2 linked regions of the Struthio camelus genome follow. The protein of the gene in region 1 interacts with the protein of each later gene in a pairwise test. Links are inferred from orthologs where the notes say so. Each region holds a gene or a part of one and is shown in the gene's direction. Other genes may lie near its edges.

Region 1 (7,935 bases):
AAAGTGACGTATCTTACTACAAGAGATTGGAAAAGTGTTATAACAGTGGTCATTAGTGGCACCAAATCCCTCTGAACTAGGATAGCTTTTAATAAATCTCATCAGAAAATGAAGTTTTAGTCTGTCATGTGCTTGCAGCAGAGTGTGAGTGGTTTTAGAGGTTAGTACAGAAGGCAACTGAACCTAGCTTGTTATAGTCTGTCTGCAGTGCTACATAAAAGGAACAGCTGCACCGACTGTGGGTGGGAGTCAGCTGGCCAAATGCAGGTATTTCATATCTGAGGGAGTCAACCCACCTCTCTCTCTAATCATTGGAGTGAACAGACCCTCATAGGATAGATTCATTTTTGTCCTATGGCAGATATCAAATATTGGTCATATGAATCACAACCTAAAAGACCATTTTTTTCATGGATTTTAAAGGGACTATAAGGCAACCAGCTCATGTGTGGACGTCCACACTGCAGACCACTAAGGTTAGGTAAACTGCATTCAGGGTCTCCGACAAAATATTAGCAACTCTTGGCTGAAGAGTGAGCAACTCCTTAAGCTACTCAAACTTGACTGCAGTTGCTCTATATTAGTCTCTACACTGTGATTTTCGGTTTATTAATAAGTTTAGCATATGTTTTCATGGTGCGTTTGTAAATCCTATAAGCTATTTTGTTCAAATTATGACCCGTTTTATATGGATAACGGAGATAACAAGACTAGATTATCTTTTTCTTACAGTCATGTATATCATAATAAACTTACATTATATTTGTGAAACTATAATGGGAATAAAAGTCACGTACATGAACAGAATGAGGCTTAGAGAAGGATATCTGGTCTCCTTAACTTACATCCCTAAGTGGAATGTATCTTTGTCTTGGTGGCAAACTTGACAAACAGGTCCCTGTATCCAGCAACTCATTTCTGTCTCTTGCTAAAGCTCTTCACTTCCTCAAATAGGCAGGTGTAACTGTTTACAAGGTCACACCATAAACCTGACAGAGATGTGATCTAGGGTAAAACTAACACTTTATTTCACAGGATCCTATTTAATCCAGATCATTTCACCAACCCAGTTTACAGTGCCACCACATAAACAGCTGTACCTGCACAAACGACAGAGTGATAAGCAAAAGCAGAGGGCAAGAACAAGCGCTGAGGGGCGAGGACCTGTTAAGTCACTTTTGTTGCCGAGGACAAGATGCAAAGAATAGCACAGAACAGCATTCAAAGCTGAAGAGGCTCCTCCAGATGATAATTCAGAGCAGAAGCCTAGCTTACATAGTCTGAATTGCTCCCTGGAGGAACCTCTCTCTCTCTTAGACTATGCAAGGCATCTAGGGAGACGAGCCTCCTAATTTAGGCATCCAAGTTAGATGCTAAACGTAGGCAGTATTTCCCCAGAGAATGTGAATGGGATGTTATAAAAATTTAAAATATGTTTAACCAAAGCTATTATGCCAATGTTTGTTCTTTTATGAGATGCTGTTTTCTGTGCTACTGACACACTGTTATGACACTATTGTGTTGCTCATTTATTAGATGCACGAAAAAATTAACAAATGCACATCTTCCAAATACAATCCAAATTTAAAGTTAAAAAAAGATTCCCAATTTTACACTCGTAATGGGAACCAGATTAAGTTGTTCACATGGAAACCACTGCATATACCCTATAGTTATCACATCAGAGGACCAGAAAGAGAAAAGAAAGGGAATTCACAATGATCACCACCATATTATTTAACCTTCTTGTTCTTCTTAAATATTTTTGTAGGTTTTCATTAGGCACTTTGGCTACACTTTCATTTGTAGTTATTTCTTGCCATTTAGTGTATTGCCCGTGTTTACTCAGACCTTTATACACATGCAGGGACTGAAGTTTTAGAATTTATCTATAAATGACAGAAATTGTTCTTCTAATACAGATGCATGGCCACCAGTGTGCTTACCTCCTCACTCCTGACTTGCACTCTTGCTTTTTAAGTATATACCAGCACACAGATTTTCACTGCATCTTCCTTCAAATATGACTACCTTCATTGCCATTGATCATAGCACTATTCAAAGGACTGTTCAACACAATCCTGGAAAGGATTATGATACGTTAAGAAGCGCTCTTTAAATATAACTGACTTCTATTCTGGATGACTGTGTTTACAGGAGTGGACTGTTAAAGTCAGTTCACCTTCTAGTATCTCACACTGCAGAATTGGAGCTAGGATGCCTAGGAAATCTAAAATGGTGGGCAAGCTATTAATATGTAATAGACTGAGCTTTGTTTAATCTAATGGTTTGGGCATCTAAACTGCGCAAAAAGCTGCACAATAGCTCTTATATTCGAAACTGACACTTTAAGTCAGAAACGTATCTATAAGCAAAGGCCACTAACATATACCAGCACGACTTAAATTTTTGGCTATGCCAGGTAACAGGCTGCATTGATACAACTGCTTGGTTCAAACTACTGAAGCCTAGTATCCTACAGTTGTGTATCCATTTCCCCTTAGCCCTCACCACTGCAATATATAAAGCAGCCTGTGTGTCACATATGACACTGCAGCTGTGCTCAGAAGTAGGTGCAGCAAGTAGCAGTGAGGGCAGTCAGTCATTTTTTGCATGCAGATTGGCCAGCCTGTTGCCAGATGAACCATTTAACAGCTAAGTTCTCCCCACCTTGTGCTCCATTGGGGCAACAGCAAGGCCCATCTTTTGTATCCTGCCACTTACTACTAAACTAAAAGGAACTCAATTATTATAACAACTTCCAACCTTTTGTCAGATGTGCCTGAAATTAGCCAATGAGGTTCGAAATGACTGCCGTGGGAAAGACTGCATGCAATTCCAGAAGTGTCACATCTTTAGCAAACCAGCCTAAAATCCACACCCTACCATGAAAGAGTTATATTGCCAAACCTTTCTCACTTAATTCTCTTGTGTATCACAGGAGATTTCTTCTTAGCTGTCAATTCTAGCAAACACATCATATTAACGGAGCTCTGCCACTTTATACTATCTGATGACCTGCCACAGGACTGGGATGATGTGAATGAACTTTTCTTTTCCTGTTCCAGTTTTCATGTAACAACTGCTGACTCCACTTTCTCTGAGGTTTCTTTCCAAGCCTTCCTTTCTGTTTGGACTACTGTAAGCTACTTTCTTATTCCTTCTCTGAACAGTAACACTCCAGCAGATGCAAAACGCTTCTGTATATTAAGTGTATAGAAAAAAGAAATATGACACCTTAGTTTCTAGTAATTCTTCTAATTTCTGTCAAAAGACTCAAAGCAGAGCTATTATTTTTTCAACCCACTGTGGACTTGCTTCAAGCCATGTCAAAGATCTACCTTCTCTTCTACCTGTTCTTTCCATTAATCTGGCATTGGCCTCTTCATCATTTTAATCTAAGAGGCCGTAAGTGTCGTGACAACTATTTCTCTCTATGGCTCCAACCATGCAACAAACATCTTAGGTGGGACTCCTCTCACCCACCTTTAGGCATCTGCACTGCAGAAACTGCTATTTACAATGATCACCTTCTATAAATATTAGGAAAAAAAAAAAGCACATTCAGGGCACAGTCCCCCTTGGTCAAAGGGGGAACTATATCCCTGAAGTACCTCTCTCTCTCTACCATGAAGAAAATCTAGAGGAAGCCTAATTCAGATGCACAAGTCTACGTAACAGATGTCTATCTTTGACTGGAAAAATACAATAGCTTGCGGCCAGCCCTATGCTGACTTTCTGGTTTAATTGAAATCTCATCTGAAAATCAACTGCTCTGCCTTGAAAGAGTCTTTATTACCAGCCTACAGAATTTTGAGAAGTAGCTTGTGTGAAAGATGTCAACTAAATCCTTCTGTGTTGCCACTTTGTCAAAATTTCTTAAGGTTCAGACTTTAAAGTTCTCTTCGAGGATAAAAAATGGTGGATGTGTCATACTAATAAATACCATACAATAAAAATACCTAGGCAGACCAATTACTATGCATGTTTACAAAGTAATATGCCTTTACTAAGTTGTGCATAACTTCTCTTGGGAGGTTAATGACCATGATTATGTAACATGCTCCTTCTTTTCCCTATTGTTTCTCTATTGCTTTTCACCTCCAATTATTAAAGCATTTCTCAATGTTGTCTGTAAGACCTTTGGTATAGACTTATGTTTGCATTTGAGTATTAAAGATTACTACAAAGGCAGAATAATTCCTATGGCCCAATTAAATATAATTGCAAGGGGAAGCGATGACAAAAGCAGAGGGCAGTTCATAATTCACAAGTATCTCATGTGCTTTCAGTCTTCTCTTGCAGAACTTTGTGTGGGAGGAGGCTACGAATGAAGCTCCCTGCTACAGCGCTAAATGCCCGTGCCAGCCATCTGAGTTAGATACAGTCTATGGAATTTATGCAATAATAACCAAATCAATTTAGAAACCAGTTTTGTTAATCTGACACAGACCCTAAGTGTGGCTAGCTTAAAACATGGCTGACAGTGTCTGCAATTACTGTGGCTTAAGAGATACTTTTGAACCAATTCAGATGTTCATGGCAAAAGAGTTACGCTAATTTATATCAGCTTCTGATTGAACTGACTAAATTCATAGAATAAATTGGAGAGAGAGGGCACACAATGCCAGCTCTGCGGGCAGAATTACAGGCCTCTGGGAAGGGGCATGTTAAGTCTCTGGGGTTTGGCTGCGAGTAATGCCCTCCTCTACCAACACAGCTGGAGCCTGTCTAACCACAGCCTCTGACACCCACCAACATCATGTCTTATCCAGAACTGCTAGGTTTAGGTCTTCTGTCAAAAAGAAAAAAAAAAGTAATCCATGGGAGAGAATATATTCATAGTAGAACAAGTTTCAGTGGTTTAAAGTGTCACCTCTCCCAAGGATTTCTTACCTTCTCTTTGCCTGAGATTACTGCCTCACAGCAGAGTTGGTGGAATGAAATATGTGCATGACTCTCGGCTGCTTCAATATGAGGTCCAGCAAATTAACTTAAATTGCTGATAAGGATGAGTTTAATGCCAGTTTTTGTAATAAAATGGATTAGAGACAGGAGTGTTTTCCATTCCAGGGACTGTTGTGGAGGCAGAAACCTTCAGCAGAGAGGTAGAACAAATAATTAGGGAAGTAATATATCTTACATCACTCCAGCCACATTTCCTGGAGTTCATCTGACCATAGCAATACAAAAGGCTATGAAATGGCATGCGCAAATCTACTGTCTTTCTCCTCATTAACAAGTTTATGAACTTCTATAGGCCTGTTAGTCCTTTCTCCTCCAGTTGTCCCTTCTCATGATCAAAAACCACATAGTAGTATAATTATGAGCTTTACAGTGAGAAAGAGCAGGAGGCTGGCCTAGAGGACCTCCTGGGGTCCCTTCCAACAGGAACTACCCTGTGATCCTTATGTATGCGTAGTATACAGGGTTAGCAGTCTGGAGAGCTGGTTCTTTTCCTGCTGCTTACTTTTAAGTTATAGTTACTTATTAGATCTTGGCAAATTGTGTAGATCATGCTTTCTGAATCAAACTTTCCCTCTGAGGAGTCCAACTAGAGTGAGACAGGTATTGCTATGACTGTAAGCAACTGCTTTTCAATTGGAAGTCAATGGGAATATGGTTACCCTATGTCACGAGGAAGCAGCCCATGGAAAGAAGAAAAAAACCAGAGGTTATGACTGAACAGCCAACCTTACTTCTCTGTGTCACAATTTCCTAGCTGAGGGATCTGATCCTCAGACAAATCAGTTCATGTGTTGGCTAAAGTGATAGGAGGTATACAGTCTTGTGGGAAGAGATATTACGGTGGTGCAAGGGACAGGCTGCTTGCAATCTGTTGGCCCTAAGAAGCCTTAGGCTCTCTAAGATCTGCATAGCATCTTTGCTTTTGGGTATGTGGAAAACCAGGAGGAATCATGCCTTCAGCAGGCAAGTATGGAGAAGTCTGGAAAAGGGGGAAGCCAGAGGGGCTCACAAAGGCAGAAAAATCTCCACGTGATTTTGAGGGAAGCAAGACATGCGCATATATGTGAGTGACACATACACACATGCTGCATTATTTAAGAGGCGTACTAAGCTCTTAGCTTCAATCCTTGCTCTTTCACTTATGTTAGTTAGCATTTCTGAGGCCCTTTTTGTGAAGTACCACCTAATGCTGCTACGTCAAGGTAACTAACGTTTACGTTTTCCAGTTAAGTTACATGTCATTATAGGGAGCTACCACATGGTCATTACTGGGAAAGTCTCAGAGTTGTCACAAGTGGCACAGAGCCATTGAAGTGGTGTTGGTGCACACGGAAACACAGCTCAAATCTGTTGGGATCTCACTGGGCTAATCCTGCCTCCATCACATGTTCCCTCTGTCTTCCTGGGGCCCGATGCAGCTTTGTGGGGTCAACTAATTCAGGAATTGATTCTGCTAAAAACTGTTTGGTTTTTTTTTTTGGAGAGGTATACCCAGCTTTCAGATGGTTCAGACCCTAGACCTACCTTACCAGATAGTGACTTGAGCATTACTGCTGTGTAAGTCACAGGAAAGCATAGCCAGGATCAGAGAAGAAGGCAGGACTGTCCCTTTTGGTAGCAATAAGGACACTGACTGACTCACATTAATTGTGAAATCATATCCTTTGAGAGACTTATTGTTTCCTTTATAAGAGACCCAACCGTTTATCTTACGTATGAGATGCTTGCTTCAGAAATGCTAGGTAATATCCATTCTTGGCAATAACATAAACTGGGTGCTTTTCTTTGATTAGGCTGCCTGTGACCACCACGTATCACCTGGCTCCCAAAAAAATGGGAAAATGGGAATCCCAAAAATCTTATGTGTTCAGTTCTTATATGAAAGCCATGACATCTGCTAGCAAAATGTGTATCAAGTCTCTGTGTGCCCATACAGAGGACAACTGCATATTTTGCCTTTTCTAGTCACTCCCACAGCTGAAGTGGGAAGAGATGAGTTTTGTATTGTGTATGTGAAAATCCATTAAAACTTAAATAAATAAAACCTAAAAAAAAATGGTAACCATAGAAAACTGCTGGAACTGCAGTTCGGCTGGTTCAGAAGCGTATCTGCATGCTGTGGTGTTTTATCACTTCTAAGGCTTACACTTTCCTCCTTTGAAAGGGAGAGTGCCACTTTTAACTGTGGGTCTTTTCTTAATGGACTGAAAGGGCGAGGCTCTCTTTCTTAACTCAAGCCAGTAATTTTAACAGAAATTATTCTAAGGATTCCTAAAATGTAGGCTTAACAGTGGAAACGGGGGGGGGGGGGGCAGGGGGCTTGCAACACCCATCGCCATCCTCAAAGATGAAGATGTGAAGAGCTTTTCCTTTGTTTGAAGCTCGCTGGAGAAACCACACCCTTTCCCTCCGCCAGGACAAGGTCACGGAAACTCTTGAGGGAGAAGGTGCGAGTTTTCTGCCTACGCATCCAGGCAGTGGAAGGCCCTTCACACGTTCGAGAAAGGTCAGGACTCGTCTGTTCTTCTCTCTCTCCAGAAAAACAAACAAAGGAAAAAAATCTCCGACTCCCTCTGGGGACCCACGAAAGCGCATGTGGAAGAAGCCTCCGCGGGTGCAGCTCCGGGGTCACCCCCGTGGGGACGGCACCTAGGGCCCCTCTTGGGAAGGGACAGCGCTTTGAAGGCGAGGCCACGCCGCCGGCCGGCCGGCCGGCCAGCCCTCGGCAGGGGTGCCGGGCACCGGGTGCCCTCAGCGCCCGCCCTGGGCGCGGCCGGGGCCGAGCTCCCCACGGGCGGGTGGGGCGCGCCCCGCCCCTCCCCCACCAACGGCCGCGCCCCCGCCTCGCAGCTGCGGCCTCGCGGCGGGGGCGGGGTAGCGGGATGCTGCGCCGCGGCTACGCCGTCCCTCCCCGCGCTCCGCCGCCGCCGCCATGGCAACCGGCCGTTGCCGCCGCCGCGCGCGCGC
Region 2 (7,647 bases), on another chromosome or scaffold:
TGGTGAAAGAACACCTGTGTTGCATTCCCTTCCTTTGGGCTCGGGTTTGTGTCTGCTGCTGTAATGCCTGGCCCCTTGATCCTGAAGCGAGGTTCAGCCAAGGCAAATGAGGAATTTATCCAACTGGACTTCAGGTTGTTGTTGGTGGTGGGTTTATTTTTTCCCCCCTTTGGGAGGATGGTCAAACCATGGGACAGGGGTCTGGAGGGGTGGTGGGATCTCTGTCTTGGGCGATACTCAAGCCTGGACTGGACACAGGCCTCGTGCACCTGATCTAGATGGCCCTGCTTTGAGTGGGGAATGGACCAGGGACCTCCAGGCATCCCTTCCAAATGATGCAAGAGCCATTGCAGACCCTTCTGCTAGGGTGTGAGTTGCAGCACGTTGGTCTCTCTAGCATACATGGGATCATCAGTCCAGCTCTCGAGACTGTCTGTAGTGCAAGAAAAGTCCAGGCTGGAGGCTGGGTTTGGGAAGACCTTGGGGCAGAAGATGTGGCTCCTAGGAGCCCCCTTTTTTGACAGCGGGATGAGAAAGCTCGTGAGCCAGAGTCAAATGATGGTAGGAGGCCTTATGTGTGTCAGGGTTTGAGTGACATCTCCCGGTTTTGGGATTGCAGCTCAGAGGTGTGCCTTCCTGCGCTGGGTATGAGTTCACAGGATGCTGAAACCCATCTGACCTCCTGCTTGTGTGTTCTCCATGGCTCTGTGCAACGGTGACCCTTTCTCCTTGGAAAGGGAGCATGAGATGTACCAGGCATTTTTGGCAGTGGTCGTGCACAGAATGGCGCACTGTTCCTGCCCCCTGCCACGAATGGCAGCCTCAGCAGGCATGTAGCCCAGCAGGGAGCCATATACTGCAATTATTTCTGCAGACCTTACTGTTAGCCGTTCAGCATCTGTCCTTTAATTTCTGGCTCTTATTCCTAGCTGTAGCAGTTCTTAACTGTTACCCTGAAGCTGATTGTACGCCCATCTGTCTTTTCACTTGCAAAACATCCTTCTCTTGCTTTTGTTTCTGAAGTTTCAACATGTGTGCTTGCAGCTGCTCGGAGCTGTGAAGTTCTTGGGCACCACACAGAGCTGATCGTATTTCCTGTGTTCCCCCTATCAGAGCAGCTCTGGACACACCGCCTGTCACGTGCAACTTGGCAGCACCAGTGTGCGGTCCCTTTTCCGTGGCACTGTCACAGCTCACGTGGGGCGACGACCCTGGCCGCAGCAGTTCTGCTGGTAGTGATGTGACGGTGTGAATGTTTCCTGGCCTTGCAGCAGGAGCTTCCTAGCCTCTGTCTGTTTCCTTTCTGATGCCACAGGACAAAAAGCAGGAGAAAGCTTGTGCTTGTGACACAGCCTCTGGGACGGTTGCAACCCTGGGACTCTGTTTGCTTTTTATTGTTGTTATTTTATTTTTGAATGTCTAAGGCATTAGGTCTGGGTGTTGTTGCAGTGTCCCTTAGGAGTGGAGGCTCTGCAATTGCAGATTTCAGTCTCAGCTTAATTGGAGTTTGACCAGTCTTCCCAGAGATCTTTTATTGTGTTGTGTAACAGTAATGAGCTTGCAGAGGTGCAAAGGAAAAAAACCTCCCTGCCTCTATCAAGTTATGGTTTGCTTCCCAAATGCATAGCTTTCTTCATTTTCCAGGTAGTGAAGGCATGTCCCACAGCACATGACTGGGATGATTATTGTGAAAATAAGACTTCAGGTCCCATGTTTCCATCTCTAAAACACTATTGTTGCTATCCATCTCCCAAACTTGGTCTCTTGTTCTCACTAAGAATCAGTTTTATTCCTTCCCACAGAAAGTTTTCCTTTCCTTCTCTCCCCACCCCCGAAACCCAGTTGTTTTTCTACTGCCACCATATCCTTATATTGCTTTTTCCCACATAAGAGTGTGCTGCTAAAATTTTTACTTGCTCCTATACAAAAAGGACTGGCAGGCAATCCATGGCTTGAAGGAAGCTGCAGTTATTGTCTTGACAGTGTTGCTTGTGCAAGTCTTGACACTGCCCTGTGTCTGATACACACTTTGTCCGGGGACATCTGGGGAGACAGTGAAGGGAGCTGACTTTGTAGAGGCACGTGTAGAGGTGCAGGCAATGACCAACTCAAGTCTTTGTTCTTATTGTAGTTGACACCTGATTTTCCTGGTGATAATTTTGTTGCTCCCTGTGGTCTTCCAGCATTGGGCATCATGATCTAGACCCGTTTAGTCTGGCATCCTAGTTTCTGATGTGGCAGCTGTTGTGGGTTTAAGACACAAGCAGTGAAGCTTCCAGCTTTCCTCTTAAAGCTCTTGCACGTGGGAGCATTTTTCAGAGGCAGAAAAGTGGGCTGATGAAAGTGTTGATGCTCAGCAATTGCCTGGTTATACACTTGAATCGAGGAGGAAGGTTCCTGCCTAGCAGGACATGCCAGCTGGTGGATTCCCAGCTCATTGCTGCGACTGCCAGAAAGCTTGGTGCACGCATGTTCCTCCCCTGTCCTCCTGCAGCGCTCCTCCAAAGGAGAGCAGGGGAGGGGAGGGGAGACCCGTATTGCTGAAAAGCCAGACTGTTCCAGCAGCTTACTGCGAATAGGGAAGACGTGCCAAGTAGAGCAGAAACATGCTGCTGGAGACCTGGGCTGCAGCACCCGCAGAGCCGTAGGGGAGCCAGCAGGAGAAACTGGGAGCTGGACACTCCAGCTCCCAAGGATGCCCACTGGAAAAGCACCCTTTCTTCCTATTTCCAAACTGCCCGGCCTGAGCCTCCCCCTTCCAAAGGTAAAGGGTGGTGTCTCCCCGTCTCTGAGTGGATATTCTGCCTGGACAAAAGGCACTCGGTTCCCTTTGCTGAGCGTGTGGGAGTGGGAAGAGTGCTTACACAGCAGCCTCAGCCTGCTTGACCTTAGTGTCGGTTGCCATAGAGCGTGTTTGCTCTCTTGAGGGCTGTGCACTGGGCGTAGACCTGCCGGCACTGGGGAGAGCTAGAAATAAGGTGCTGTAAGGACAAACTGTCACTTTGGAGGGATAATAAACCATCTCTCACCAGCGTTTGTGGGCTTTCTTTCCTGTGCAGGAGGTAGCAGCATTTAAGCAACTCCTCTGCAGTTCTCTCTTTATTTCCTTGTCAGTACTTGGGAGGGGAATAGGACAGCCTGAGTGCTGTTGCCTGGTCTTATGCCCTTACGGGGGAGTGTCCAGCCTAGACAATCCCCCCCCCGCCACCACCCTTGCACGGGAAGTCAGAGTTGGGCGCTAAGCCTGTTGGTAGCTAGCAGAGCTGCGTGTCTGGGATATCGGAGTCTGCACACCTCTTAGGGAAGAAAGGTGAGGGCTGCGTAGGTATTTGCACAGCCGAAGAGATAAGGGATATCAGTATGTCTTGAGGATCCAAGGATCATTATATGCACTTCCAGGGTAGGTTAAGTCTGATGTGCCCTAAGTCAGCACGTTTTGCTTATTTTCCCTTCTCAGACACTCTGAAACGTTGAAAGTTGTGAAAGAAAGTTAATTGTGGGGACTGTGAAATGCTCTCAGCTTTTTCTGCTGGAAAGGCTGAAGAAAGACGGGATGCTGCTATTTTAACAGACAGCTCAGACTTCTCAGTCAAGGAGTAATTCTGTGCGTGGTGGAATTAATGAGGCTGATTTCATATGGATCTGGGTCTTGTCTGACTCTGTTATCTAGCAAGGTGCAAGTTCTGATGGTGACTTTTTGTCATGATTCATAATGTGTACCTCTCTCCCATGTGTTTGTAGTGTGCTTATCAAAGATGGCAGCAAGAGCTCATCCTCTCTGTAGGGGCATCCGTAATGCTTCCTTGAACACTGTCAGTGTTTCACAGATGACCCTATATGTGGAGGGACGGATGAAGAGGCGTTTGCAGGCTGCACAGCTGCGTGAGCTTTAGGGCAGAGCTCTAGTTTTGCTGTATGCTGGGTACGAGGCAGTCCCTGGGACCTCCTCATGTCTCTGAGCGTTGGCTCTGCTCCAGAGGACTCCTGTTTTCAGATTTCTCTGTTTTTGAGTCTAGGGCTGAGTTCCCTCCTGAGTTGAAGCTAGTGACAGGTCCGTTTTGCCCTTTAGCAGTTGTTACCTCAGCTTTGGTGGAAGCAGATAGGTATCTGCCCTGACTTCCTCTGGAGCCAGGAATCATTGCACATCTCTTCCTGAATTGCGCTCACCGGGAGAAGGCTTATTTTAGGTTTTGGGGGTTTATTTGTTTGGTTTTTCTCCTCTTGTTGCATTAACACTTAATTTCCCCCAGCCCCCCCTCCACCCCCACCCCCCACCCTCCGTGATGTTTTATAAAGATGGAGAAAAAGAAAAACTGGGGAATTATGGACCAGATGGATTCTCTAGGAACTGGCAGTTAAGCAATTTGGAAGAGAGGATGTGAGTGGCAGCCAACTCCCAACAGACCTCTCTTTTTTTTTTTTTTTTTTTTTTTTCCAAAGCAATAGTCTGTTAGTCTGTGCCCTGTGTCTTGACTCAAGTGAGGTTTTCCATGCTGTTCTTATCATGTTGTGTTCTCCTACACAAATGGGCAAATGTCACAGGCCGGATGAAACTTTTGGGAGTGAAGTGCAAAACGGTTGGGGTGACTGCATGCAGGGAATGACAGACGCTCAAAAGGGAAGGATACGACAAGCTTCTGCACAGGGCTGGTGCTGCTGATGGATCATGAGGTAAATATGAATTCAGCATTGTGACTTTGTGTGGGAGGACAGTCAATTCCTGCTGAAAGGTATGAAGAGGAGCCCAGTCTTCAAGCAACATGGTGTTTTTTTCTGCTCTGCTGAGGTTCAGTAAGGGTTCTGCTGTGCATTGAGAGCTCACTATGCTTTGCAAGGGGTGGAACAGAGACCAGAGAGGAGCTGAGAGGAGAGCTGGGGCCTGTAAAACAACTCGAGGAAGTTCTGGAGGAGTGAGGCTAACCAAGAGGAGACGGGTGGGGTGTCATGGGCTGTGTGTGCTCGCAGCATCTGCCCTGGCTCCATCCATCTTCTCTTTCCCTGCTGCAGTGAGGAGGAAATTGGTCCCCTCTCGTGCCCAGGGCCTGCTCCTAGACAAGACTGGTGGTAGCTGAGCTGGGGGATCGTCCTGAGCCCTCCTGGGCAAAGTGTGCAGCTGAGGAGGAGAGGAGGCTTGACGAGGAGGACGAGACATTCTTGCTGAGGGCGGCATTTCTGCTCGCTCTGTGAACCCAGGCCCAAGGCTGCTGCTGAACAAATTACTCAAAATCCTGCGGAGATAGGTCCTGCAGGAGGACAAACACAAATCCGCCAGGCGGCTCCTCAGCCTGTCCCGCCGCCACAGTGCTGTGTAACGCCTGGGCAGTCTGCCAGCAGGGTCCAGGGTGCTCAGCTTGCGCTGCCTCCTGCCAGCTCTGGGCCTGCAGAAGGGTGTCGCTGGGCAGATGCTGCTGCCTGCTGAGGGGCGTCGCATTGTGAGGCACGGCTCTCCCTAGCTCCTGAGTTTGCTATGCAGGGATCTTGCGGTCATGCTAACGTGGTGGATTGTAGCGCTCGGTGCCCCTGTGTAAAGGCAGTGGCTTGGTACTGTCTGTTGTATAGATGGGGAGAGTGAGACGGGGAAGGAGTGCAGAGTTCTTGTGCCATCCTGAGGAGTCCTTGGGCTGGCAGCAGGGCAAATGGAGCTGGGAAAGCTGCTGCTGTTTTAAGCTAACACCCACACAAGGGTTACGCTAGTATAACTTGCGCAGTTGGTGCATGTAAACTTCCCCACACAGACGTGCTTCAGTCAATGTTGGTGTTTTCGTGTCCCACAAGGGCTGTTCTGTGCCGGGGGCTGAGATTTTCGGGGTCCGCATTTGGTCAGGGAATTTGTTGACTGGTCTAGTAAGTCCACAGGTGCCTCCCAGTCTGAGAGGTACTCTTCTAGGGAATTTGAGGAAGCGGAAAGCTTTGAGCTGGCATCTCTCCACTTTCTATTCCCTTTCTTCTGCAGTCGGAAGAGGCGTTGAGCTCTGACAGCCTCCTCGCATCAGTGATTTGTGGGCGGGAGGTGTACGTGTTGCAGCCCCAGCTGCCGACTACAGATCTCTGCTCTTAAATGGAAGCTAAATCAGCTTTCCTTGCTGCCAGGGGTGTGGGGGTGTTGGAAGTCAGCGCTTGTTCTGGCCTTTTTGTCTGCTGTCCATGCGTGCCACCTGCCCTGTCTGCCAGTGCTCCATGCCACAGAAGCAGAGACACGTGCCCTGAGAGCTGCCTGCTGCCAAAGGGAGAGGGGAAGACAAAGGGGAAAGACTTAGTGTGGGTAACCAGTTGTACCCTGTCTCTGGCTGCCTGAAGGAGGCTTACACTTGTCTGATTGCAGCTCTCTGAAATAGCACTGAGGCTCCTGGGTTTTTGTCTCCCTCTCTGTGTAGGGCTGCGGTAGCAGGACTATGTCCACCATGGTGTACCCAAGGGAGGAGAAACTGGACAAGCTGAGCCAAGAGGAGATCATTTCCAACACCAAGCTGGTGATGCAGGGGCTGGAGGCACTGAAGAATGAACACAACTCCATCCTGCACAGCTTGCTGGAGACCATCAAGTGCCTGAAGAAGGATGAAGAAGCCAATCTCGTGCATGAGAAATCCAACCTGCTCCGCAAGTCAGTGGAGATGATCGAACTGGGGCTCGGAGAAGCTCAGGTGAGAGTGGCGAGTGCCCTCGTAGGTGGTAGCAAGAACTGATGGGGAAGGCAGGCATTTGGCTGTTTTTTGTAAGCTGCAGGGGCAGCAAAGAGCTGAAGGTAGAGGGCCAGGGTGACCCAGAGGGTGGGCCCTCCTGAGCTTGCGTGTTGTAGGGGATACAGGATTGTGGTAGGTACTGACTGGCCAGCTGGGACTTTTGGCAAGGTGATGATGGCATTGTCCAACCATCTGAACGCTGTGGAGTCGGAGAAGCAGAAGCTGCGCGCTCAGGTGCGGAGACTGTGCCAGGAGAACCAGTGGCTGCGTGATGAACTCGCCAACACCCAGCAGAAGCTGCAGCGCAGTGAGCAGACCGTGGCTCAGCTGGAGGAAGAGAAGAAACACCTTGAATTCATGAACCAGCTGAAGAAGTATGATGAGGATGTCTCTCCTTCGGTATGTTCTTGTCTGGGGGAACAGCTGCCTTTGTGCAGGGGGCTGGGACCAGTGGGATTGCCTAGGTTTAATAGCCTTGTCCCTTGCTGGCTTCCTTGCCCGGCAATACTTGGCTGCAACTAAAGGGAGACCGCATGGGGCAGGGTCTCGGGCAGAACGTGGGGAAGGGTGCCAGGGTGCGTTGGGGGATGTTGTGTTGGCTTCATTGGGTGGGAGGGGAAAGGTGGCAGAGGCCACAAGGAAGCTGAGGGCCTTGGTGGGCTGCAGTGGAGAGGAGAGATTGGCAGCTGATTTGGCCCAGGCTGCTGCCACCTCCTCTGAGAACCAACAGCATCGTGATCCCCATTCTTCCAGGAGGAGAAGGAGGGCGACTCCACCAAGGACTCTCTGGATGATCTGTTCCCCAATGAGGAGGAGGAGCACGGTCCTGGATGTAAGTGTTTGTGCTCATGCATGGTTGCCGACCACCTCTGTTTCAACCCGTTGTGCCCAATGTTGCCCCCGTTTACTCATCTGTGCCCACAGTGCCCCACCAGCACAGCAGTGCAGTGGCAGCTGCCCAGCAGGG

Evidence for each region. The genes of interacting proteins can lie anywhere in the genome.
Region 2: the proteins of KATNAL1 (region 1) and KLC4 interact in binary tests that used the Homo sapiens proteins (3 or more experiments, as listed by UniProt). The two-hybrid records come from large-scale screens. The link is inferred for Struthio camelus from reciprocal best matches to the Homo sapiens genes KATNAL1 and KLC4.

The regions. Positions count from the first base shown.
Region 1 is NC_090942.1:199,541,247-199,549,181, forward strand, and holds the start of KATNAL1 (katanin p60 ATPase-containing subunit A-like 1), read left to right. Parts: upstream 1-4,925; 5' UTR 4,926-7,474; intron 7,475-7,841; exon of another isoform or gene 7,842-7,935. UniProt on the Homo sapiens protein: Regulates microtubule dynamics in Sertoli cells, a process that is essential for spermiogenesis and male fertility. Severs microtubules in an ATP-dependent manner, promoting rapid reorganization of cellular microtubule arrays.
Region 2 is NC_090944.1:148,108,116-148,115,762, forward strand, and holds the start of KLC4 (kinesin light chain 4), read left to right. Parts: upstream 1-4,644; 5' UTR 4,645-4,659; coding exon 4,660-4,671; intron 4,672-5,953; exon of another isoform or gene 5,954-6,258; intron 6,259-6,374; coding exon 6,375-6,641; intron 6,642-6,848; coding exon 6,849-7,079; intron 7,080-7,433; coding exon 7,434-7,512; intron 7,513-7,604; coding exon 7,605-7,647.